Mus musculus: one gene and its partner. The protein of the gene in region 1 purifies or fractionates together with the protein of each later gene. This does not show direct contact. Links are inferred from orthologs where the notes say so. Each region holds a gene or a part of one and is shown on either strand. Other genes may lie near its edges.

Evidence for each region. The genes of interacting proteins can lie anywhere in the genome.
Region 2: the proteins of Akap11 (region 1) and Prkar2b purify together in Homo sapiens (affinity purification with mass spectrometry; 3 studies listed by BioGRID and IntAct, counting the BioPlex papers as one, with this or other methods). This does not show direct contact. The link is inferred for Mus musculus from reciprocal best matches to the Homo sapiens genes AKAP11 and PRKAR2B.

Annotation. Positions count from the first base shown.
Region 1 is NC_000080.6:78,504,818-78,509,833, forward strand, and holds part of Akap11 (A-kinase anchor protein 11), read right to left. Parts: intron 3,064-5,016; coding exon 2,908-3,063; intron 1-2,907. UniProt on the Homo sapiens protein: Binds to type II regulatory subunits of protein kinase A and anchors/targets them.
Region 2 is NC_000078.6:32,058,016-32,063,131, forward strand, and holds the start of Prkar2b (cAMP-dependent protein kinase type II-beta regulatory subunit), read right to left. Parts: upstream 3,263-5,116; 5' UTR 3,068-3,262; coding exon 2,767-3,067; intron 2,575-2,766; exon of another isoform or gene 2,301-2,574; intron 1-2,300. UniProt on the Homo sapiens protein: Regulatory subunit of the cAMP-dependent protein kinases involved in cAMP signaling in cells. Type II regulatory chains mediate membrane association by binding to anchoring proteins, including the MAP2 kinase.

The DNA of each region.
Region 1 (5,016 bases):
GCCTTGGTAAATTGCCCAGGCTACTGTGAAATTTGTAACACTCCTGCCTCAGCCTTCAGAGGGTTATGGCCATAAAACATCACACTTGCCTCTAATATATAATTTCAAAAATGTTTCTAGCTATTCAAAATATTTAAGAAATTCACATACACAGGCCAGCTCTCTTCATGATCAATTATACTTCCTAACCCTTCTTTAAAATCTAATTTTTAAAACTGATTTTCTTTACTGACCTTCCTATTTAAAGTGTAAATTCAAACTGCTTACTGCCAACCTTGATCTCTGTGCCTATAAGAGCAGAAGCCACAAAAGACTGTTTTGTAAAGCTGCCTCTCTCAGATGTGGTGCAAACACTGTCACTGAGATCACTTCAGGTGCTTCTCAGGCACACGCATTTTCAGGCCCCTGCCTAGCCTCCTGAGTCAATCCCTGGAGGTTAGGCTCTGGAAACCTGTATTCAACAGGCACACTATCAACCCAGAGTTTAAGTCCCAAGAGCTGTCTCCTGTCTAAATCTCAAAACCACTGCAACATGACTAGTTAGTAGTGCATACTAACAGTACTTGTATGAAACACACATCTTCTGACTAAACACTCTCAAGTCAGACGTTCTCCCTACCTGGGTTCACATAATTTCTGAGCCTGAATGCATTTGCTCAGATTCTATATAATTACTCTGGCCTCAGCCTGATTTGGTTTTGTTACTGTTACGAGGCTGTCACTTCAGCCTGGTTTCTAAGTTATCCATATTAATAAACTAAACACTGCAGGCAGAATGAAGACTAGAGCCCAGGAAAGACTTGCCCCTTGCAACAACTCAGTTAACCCTCTCTAGTTACTGAGCTTTCTACAAACCCTCTTAAGACCACTGGCTTCTCCCAGTTTAATGTCACTCTTGCTGAAGTCTTGGAAGCTTGTTTTCCTTAAAGAAGAAAAAAAAACTTAAGTGTTATTACAGTGTTCCAGGGAAAATCATGATTTTTGACCTTGCTCTACTGTTTCCATTTTAAAGACTATTTTTTGGCATCCAAATTGTAAAAAAATACTGATTTTTCCCATAACATAACAAACACAGTATAAGAAAGAAAGAAAGAAAGAAAGAAAGAAAGAAAGAGAGAGAGAGAGAGAGAGAGAGAAAGTAAGAAAGAAAGAAAGAAAGAAAGAAGGAAGGAAGAAAAGGAAAAAAAAGAAAAGAAAATGTGTAACCAAGTAGAAAAGAAACCCTCCCAGCCTTAGGCTAGGACGCCTCGCTCTCCTAGGCCAGAGGCCACACCTCCTCTCCTTATGCCACCCCAGCCTCTCCTCCAACGTCACACTGTCTTCCTTCCCTCTCCCAGCAAGAACATTTCCAGGGTCGATGTCAGCAGGGACTGCACACGGTTCTTTCCACATATACCTCCTGGTAGAGGTATGCTGAGAACTTCTCCCTCCCTGAGGTCTAACTATTGCTGTTACTTCTATTTCAATTGTCAGTTAATATGGACAAATACTTCACGGGAGTTCATAAGCAACCCATGAATGCCTTTAGGTAGAGGTGAGAATATAAGAATCTATATCATAATGAAATATTTCAAAGGAGGCTATTGTGAACAAAGTTAACTAGAAAATTTGCATGTAAAGTAAATGTCTTCAAGTATATAAAACTTTTTTTTACAGATTCATGTAAAGTGAAATTTCTGGTTTCTTTGGAGACTCAGTTGTGTCATGTGACGTTTTTCTGAAAACTGTGTTATGAGAGGATGTTTTGCTGAGAACAGACACATGGTGTTTTTCTGGAAGCTGCCTGGAAAGAGAACATGTGATGTTTGGAAAGGGTATAAGTATAACCCAGCAGACAGTGGACTACACTGTGGCATTGGTTTACCTTGCCACTCTTTGCTGGGCTTTGTTGGGCTTTGCAGATGCTGGTCTTGGCTGACAGCACTGTGGCACTTGTTTGTCTTGCCTCCTTAGCTGATCATCATTTGTCATGACCTCATAGAGAGAAATGCATCGAAGAACTTGTGGTGATATTCTGGGTGGCTTACCACTTTGGACTGAACTGCCGTTGCTGGTTAGTGAATGATGTTTGTGAGTGGATGGAGTACTATTGCTGACTCACATCAATTCAACCACTGATGTCCTGACAATGAAGACTGGAATTACCCCAAAGAACTATTTCTAAATAGGTCCACATTCCCCTGTGCCCTATTAACCTTTCATTTCCACTACCTCAGGTGAGTGGTGGGCTAGAAGGGAGGTTAAAGTATTTAGTAACCCTTATTAAAGTAGGTTTTAAAAAATCTAAGACTATGCAATGTTTGCATTTTCAATCCAAGAAGCGACATAAAATATTTTGTTCCTAGCAGAAGTCCTGTCCCTAGAAACACTATTTATTATAGCTTGTATCAGGAAACTGCAGGGTTATAGTAATGCCATTTACAGACACCTAACTGTCCTCATGAATAGCTTTCTAATGAAGGTATGCTCTTTAAAGTGATAAATTATACTCCCACAACATAGATGAAAACTTAACATGGAAATAAAATTCAATATTGCAATACTTTTTTTCAGGTCAGCTGTCAGTATATCCGAAGATATTTGCTCTGTTCCCTCACTGCATTTAATATGTGTCAAAGCCATTGAGAAGCCAGGGATGGCAATATAATCCACAAGCCTATAATCCAGACCCTGGAAAGTTAAGAGAAAAACTTAACTTCAAGACCAGACTGGGCCACACCAGAAGAAAGCCATACCCTTAAGAACAATTAAAGTAAAAACTACAAAAGAGCCACATTGTGAATAATAAAATGTTGGATGTATAGACAGATTTCCAAATTGAGAATTTTTAAATAACACAAACCCACTGCTCACTTTTCTTAAGTCTAGAGACCTTTCTCACACACTTAACTATACAGTCAGAGTTACCTTTCACTGAGATGATGGAAACTGCTGCTTTCATCTTGATGGTCATCCTCAAAACTTAAGTTGGACCAGCTACCTGTGCTGTCTTCACCAACACTGAGATTCATCTGCTGGCTGCCAAGTGACTCAGTTGACTGAAAATCTTCTATTTCTCTTGAACTAGGAAACGATCACATGGTAATAATTTAAAAAACAATTGAAGCATCACAAATTGTGACAAAGAAAGAAGATGATAAAGCTGACACTAAGGAATTATATCCCCGGTGACACTAACACCCCTGAACATGTCGCTGCATCTGCACATAATGAAGACTGAACATCAGCACAGCAAGGACCGCATCTGCTACCTAGACAATACCCTTGTGCATCTACATTCAGTTGAAAGCACTTTCCACGTTCAACAGGACACTGAGCAGAAGTACGCCTCACTAGAAGTTCTAAGCAAATCATCTGACCTATAAAAATACTACCTTCATTTGAATCTAAAAGAGCCTCCTTCTGGCTTTTAGTATTAGAAATGCAGTTTGAAATTCTAGCTGTGTCAACCAAGCCTATATTCAAACTAAAGAAATCTCTTCATAATATGAATCATAAACATATTTCTTAGCAGAAACTGATGTTCCAGCATTTGGGAGGTATCTCTGTGATTCAAAACCAGTCTGATCTACATAATTCTAAGCTAGCCAAGGCTACATAGTAAGACCCTGTCTTAGAGAAACTAAACTAATTGCTCCATCTGTATATCGTCAACACAGTTCTAAAGAGTGATGCTTAAGCAGGAAGAGAAAAGGTATCAGTTTTCTGATCAAAACTTTCCATTGACTTCCAAACATCATATATGTATAAGCTGGTCCCTCACTGCCATCCTCCAAGTTGAGTCACTCTACAGCAGTGCCCAGAACACAGGACCCCCAGCTCTTGCAGAACAATGTGGTTTTTGGTTTGGTTTGGTTTGGGGTTGTTTTTTTGTTTGTTTGTTTTTTTGTTTGGTTTTTTTGCCTGTTTCAATTTCTTTTATATCCCTAACACCTAAATTAAGCCTTGAACTGCCCTTCCCATTTTTAAAGCACCTCTCACTTTGCATTTAAAAAGATCTGACAACTCAGTTAGGCTTGGCATTCCAAACACAGGTATCTTCCACCACAACTTTATTTTATTTAACACTTTTTCCTGTTACCTACCACATTTTTAAGAAAATGATTCACAGGAGGAGGGTAAAAGAGGGTTTGTAATGACTGCTAGGTAACTGGACTCATGCTAATTGAAAATAAAGTCTAGATCTATTATTATTCTAAAATTCCACTGTCATATGCTTTCCTATTTGAAATTCATATGGCTCCCAGCTGATCGTTATGGGTTTGTAACGTCCTATTATATATTCTACCATTAATCAAACAGTTATGAGAAAAGAAACATTAGTGAAACAATTTAGTTAACATCTTAGTGAATAATCTATTTGAATCAATCATTCTTCAATTGTAAATCATTTTAACTTTATAAAATGTGAGGCAGAATTATATACAACTGAGTGGACTCTGCAGTTCTCACAGAAGCCTGGGAACAGAAGTACAAAGAGAGAGCCTACAAATTCCAGTCTGGATTAAAACAAGCTTAAGGAAGACTGCGGGGTACATTACTGGCCAGGTCTAAGAAGAAGATGAATAATCTGAAGAATGAATAGCAGAGTTATTGGCCGAGTCCTGGGAGTGAGGGCTTAGGAATCACCATCTAGTTTCCTCTTCTGAAGCTGCTATGATAGAAGAGGAAGAATAAAAACTGTCCAAGCCATGTGTAGAAAACTGTCTCGACCATAGAAACAGATATTAATCTCAGAGTAGTAAATATACCAGTCTAAACTCTTGAATAAAATTCACCCATTTCCTTTATTCTGATTACCTGCTTCTTAGTTGATGTTATTGTGTTTTCTCTCATCTTCCAGCCCTGTAAATGAATAATTACTCACAAAAGGAACCGGGAAACAAAAATTTCATATGAAAACCAAGCACAGGACATGAAGCTACATACAAATGCAACAGAGAAGACCTCTGTTAAGTTAGGATGAAAATAAGTAGAGTTTTTATGAACAGAACCTAAAACATACAGGGCAAAGTT
Region 2 (5,116 bases), on another chromosome or scaffold:
AACACGAAGTAAATGACAGTCTCATTAGAGCCCCCATGCAGCTGAGATGATGAACGGAGGCTTTCACGGAGGACCTAGCACACCACAGATGTCAACAAATAGCAGCCCTTTCTCTAACCACTAATAAGACGAGACACATTATGGTCATCATGATCCATTGACTAATGGCTTTCAAAGTATGATCAGGGAACTGTGGGTACCAGAGAAACCAGAGATGTTTGTTGACCGGAAAAAAATAAATAAATAAGGAAGAAAAGAAAATAAGCAAGCCTGTGTCTTACCTATTCATAAAAGCTCCTTAAGAAGGGTACTAGATCATGATATTTCTGAATCAAGCTTCAAGCTTCATGTGAAATGTAAAGTCATTGATCCTGCAATGCTGTGCTGTACCACAGGGACTGTTGTCATCCAACACTTACTCTTTCTCTACTGTGCCAAGAGAACTGCCCAGTGCCTGCTGGGTTTTCTTCAGCATTCTCCTGCATACAGACAGAACCTTAATAGGTTTGTGGGTTTTCAGTCAATTCCACAAACTTTCCATAAATGATGACTCTATCTTGATGTGTCTGTGTGTGCATATACACACACACACACATGCACACCCCCCCACACACATATATATTTATTCCCTATGATCAGGTTTGGATACATCATGGCCTTGTACAAATTCAAGCTCCATAGAGTGTACTTGTTTAAAGGGCTGTTTAAAAAGAAGAAGACCCAGATGATAGGATGCCCACAAAGTCTGAAAGGCCATCCACAAAAACAGTTTGACAAGCGTTTTGTAGCTCACAGTTCTTTTTTAAACCGATTCTCAACACACTTTACATCTAACATAATTAAAGTGTTGGGTTAGAAAAATATAAAAGAGAATTGCCCCAATTGAGGTTATACCAATGCCAAAGTTTCGGCTATGCACATGCCCGTACACATCTGCTGGATAAAGATCAAATTGTGTTATAGTCAAGAAGTTTTAAAACCCCTGGAGGTAGAGATGTTAAAAGGCAACTGGTTAAGCATTTATTACAACTGACCTTGAGTGATTTTTATAGAAAAGATGACTTGGGGAATAGAAAGCTTCATAAAAATTACAAAAGCACTTCTTTCTTCCAATGTGCAAGATACACATTCTTGCAAGGAGAAATTAAACCAAAGCAAAGTGCTTCAAGAGAATTAGATATAATTAGGTTTGACTGTATTAATACTGTATTCCAAAGAGCACAGAGGCTCTCCCAAGCCTCCCTTCTCCTTGGTGCCTCCCATTCAGGACACTAGTCCCCTTTTCCATTGTGCATTGCTTGCCTGCGCTTGCATCCCCATGCCACAGACACATAGCATGTGCACAAATGTGTGTGCATACAAGTATTAGACGTCACTGTCCTTTCTATACCATCTGTGTAAGATGCTGTCTAGTTCCCCTTCCTAGTGAGACAAGCATCTGATTTGGTGTGGGAACAATTAAAACTATGATTACCCTATTCTCAAAGCACCCAAATGTCCCAAATTAAAAATCTAAATAGCAATCTTTCACATTCACAGAGCACTAACATCCAGGGTTTGTGTGTTTTAAACAAGCTAAGAATGCATTAATTTTATAACCCATTCAACATATAATTAATTCTACAAAGGAATGAAAATCTTCCTGGGAGGAGGGCGTAAGGGAAATGAAGTGAATGGCCCTTTAGTGTTTTCACTGTGTGAAAGGCATTGTGGACACACAAATCCCACACCAGCAGCATCAACAAATAAAAGCTGCATGCATGCTCGCCTCACACCACCAAGGAAAATACTTGTCCATTTGCACACCACGGCATTTCAGCCCGGGCTCCTGCAAAACCTGGGGTTTGGTCATATTGTGTAAACACGCATGTGTGTCTGGTGTGTCAGGGAGAGGTGGGAAGCATAAGGGGTGGGACTCGCCAAAAGCAGCTATTTAAAACAATCCCTTTCTCTCCCATTCATTCTCTCTAGCTTCAGTGTCTGGCGTGGTCCTTAGATGCTGGCTGGCTTTTCATTAAGACAACTGACAAAGCTCTTAGAACTTCCCATGGTGTTATTTTTTTTTCCACACACTTTAAAAAGAACATCAAAATCATTCAATATATGTTTTGTATCTTTTTTTTTAAAGAAAGAAAATCATTGGCCTATTTCCTCATGCCAAAGACCCCCTAGGTATCAGGCTAAATATGCTCCTTTGTTATATGTCCAAAAATATCGCCACCACATGGTATTGGAAAAACTGGAAAATAAATTATTCGTATTCCAAGAATGTCACAGCTATTATCGTTAATTTGTTTTACCTCAGCGAGTCCGATTTCACACTCTTCTCACTGAGTCCTACATGCTTCGCCCTTTCTCCCAGAACACTCCATTAATAAATCTAAAGGGCTGAAAAGAGGCCGCCAAGCGCCCTTCATGCACAATGGTACTCCCGGAGCCTGAGACATCTCCAACCACGGGAAAGTTAACGATCCAGCAAGATGCCCACCCTAAATCGCCCCGGAAAGAGAGGTGACAGAGGGGCAGCGGGAGCGCAACCTCTCCTTTCCCCACCTCCAGAGAAAGGGAGGGCATGACAAGAGAGCTGAGTAGGAAGGTGGGCGAGTGGGAGCGACCGAAATGGGTGCTGAGGGGGTGGGCGTAATGGGAAGGTGGAGAGCACGGGGAAGGTGGGGAGCTCAGCCCGGGGTTCAAGAGCGAGGCGGGGTTCGAGAGTGAGGCGGACGCGGCGGCCGGGGCTCAGGGCGCGAGGGGGCCGGTCCTCACCGTTGAACGCCCCTGCTTCCGCGGCCTCCTCCTCCTCGCCGTTCTCGGAGTCGGAGCGCATGGGCTCCTCGGCGAAGTTGACACCCTTACTGGGGATGCCGCCCCCGGCGGCTGCGCCCGCGTCCCCCCAGGTCCTGCCCTCATGGCCGAAGCGCGCGGCGCCCTTGCGCTCGTTCTCCTGCTGCAGCCGCGTGAAGTGCTGCAGCGCGAACTCCAGCAGGTCGGCGGGCTGGTGCCTCAGCACCTCCACCGTGAAGCCCTGCAGCAGCTCCGTGAGCCCCGCGGGGATCTCGATGCTCATCCTGCCCGTGCACGCCGAGGCGCCTGGACGCCGCCCTCGCCCCCTATCCGCGGTCCGGTCTCGGGCTGCGCGGCTCCCGAGCGAGCGCCCCGGGCGCTACCGGCTGCGAGCGCGGCGCACTGGGCCCCCGGCGAGGCTGCTCCGTGCGGCGGCAGCAGCAGAGCGAGCACAGCCCGGGGAGGGTTGGCAGCATCTCCAGCTCCTCCCGCTCCTGCTCCCGCCGCCGCTGCGCCGCCCCCCGCCCGGCGCCCCGCCTCCGCCCGCGCGCCCACGTGATCCCCGGAAACCATGGCAACCCGGCGGGCGGGAGCACTGCCGCCTCTCAAGTGGCCCCAGGGTGGAGGCAGCCTGAGCCTGGGGCGTGGGGCTGAGGCCGCGCGCTCCACCTGAGCTCCCTGAGCGAATCCCACGCACCTTTCTCCCTGTCCCACGCAGAGTTGGTGCGGCGCAATTCCTGCTGAAACTTCAGCCTCCACCTTGGTGGCTTTTCCTTTTCCTAGAATCCAACCCCAAGAGAAACGTGCGTGGTGTCTTTTGTTAGTCGCACAGCCCTACTGGTTCTCTTCTGGATAAAAGAGATGCTGCCACTTGTCTGTCACAAAATTTTCTTTAATTCCGCCTTTTAGCCTCGTGGCTGTGATGGTTTGCCTTACAGATGCTCTGCCACACTCTGCTTAGTACATTTCCTACTGGTTACTGAGACAAAGGCCGCATTTATTGTGTAGCACTTAACAAAGTTAGTTGATCCTTCAAGACAGGATACAGGGTAGTCAGGGCAGCTGGACAGACAACTAAGGGTGTGTTACCTGATTAGCCTCTTGTTGCTTATTTTTAAAACCTTTCCTGACACTTTGCGTCACTTCAATTAAATCTCCAAAATTTGAATATAGCAATAAAAAGGAAAAGAGAACTACACATTTGTGCTTTTTAAAGAAAACCCTTGTCTTTAAAACGAGCCTATTCTGAGAATTTTGAAACAGAAAAATTTATCTTTTGCCAAATTAAACGCTGTATAAATATGCATACTTTATTTTCTACGATGCCCATTTCATTGTAAAGCAGTCCAAGTGCAAACTCACTTGAGTTTTATTTTATTCTTAAGTTTTATTTATTTATTGAGTTTTATTTTATTTCCTTAGTTGTTCTCACTTACCTTTCTGCCCACACATAAGGAAAATATGTGACTCACGAAACCCAAAACCTAGAAATCAAAAATATCATTTCGTTTTATTTTTTAAAAATTGCTTCTTACCCATTTGTTTACAATGTTTATTTATCTTTTTTTTTCATAAGGGAATTCATTTCTCAAGTTCAGTTTCTTAACCTCATAATAATAATACTGGTGTGTGTTTTTTTTAAAATAACATACTTCTAAATTGTAATTGTGTGGTGTATAAGAAATAAACTCAGAAAAATGTGGTCTTCACATGAGGCCATATGGAACACAGTATTAGTCAAGTTCTCTACCGAAATGTTTTGCAGATCCAATAATCTAAGATGTATTTCTATCATGTTTCTCCCTACTGCTCAGCAGAAAATGCAAAGAATACTAGTTAAGATGGGATTTTATCGTTGCGGTCCTCAATGTCGATCAAGAATCCTCGCTCATTCAAGCTCATTGCTGTGTAATTCTGGCTTTGTGGCTCCTCCACCTCCAGTCATTTCCTCTAAGTCAGCTAACAGGAAAGTGGGGAAGAGAAAGGAGCCTCCTTCCGGCAGCAAACACTCATCTTTTCTTTTGGCTACAACTTCTGACCACATACATTTTATTTTCTGAAAGTGAGTAATGGTACCTCCCAGCCCATGTGCTCTTCCACAGAACAACTTTACCATTCCTAAGCCCGGAGTGCAACGCAAGGGGGATTGTGACTGCTTTGGCCAGTGGTGCATTTAGAAGTCACTCTAGCCCTCTGGTAGGTGCCTGACCAAAGTTCTGATCCATGGAGTTGGTGAACCCTTAAAAACAGGAGGAGGTATGTGTTAGCCTTGAAATTTTGGTAGTTTGTTGCACAGCAATAGCAATTAAATGCTACAATGGAGAAATTTGGG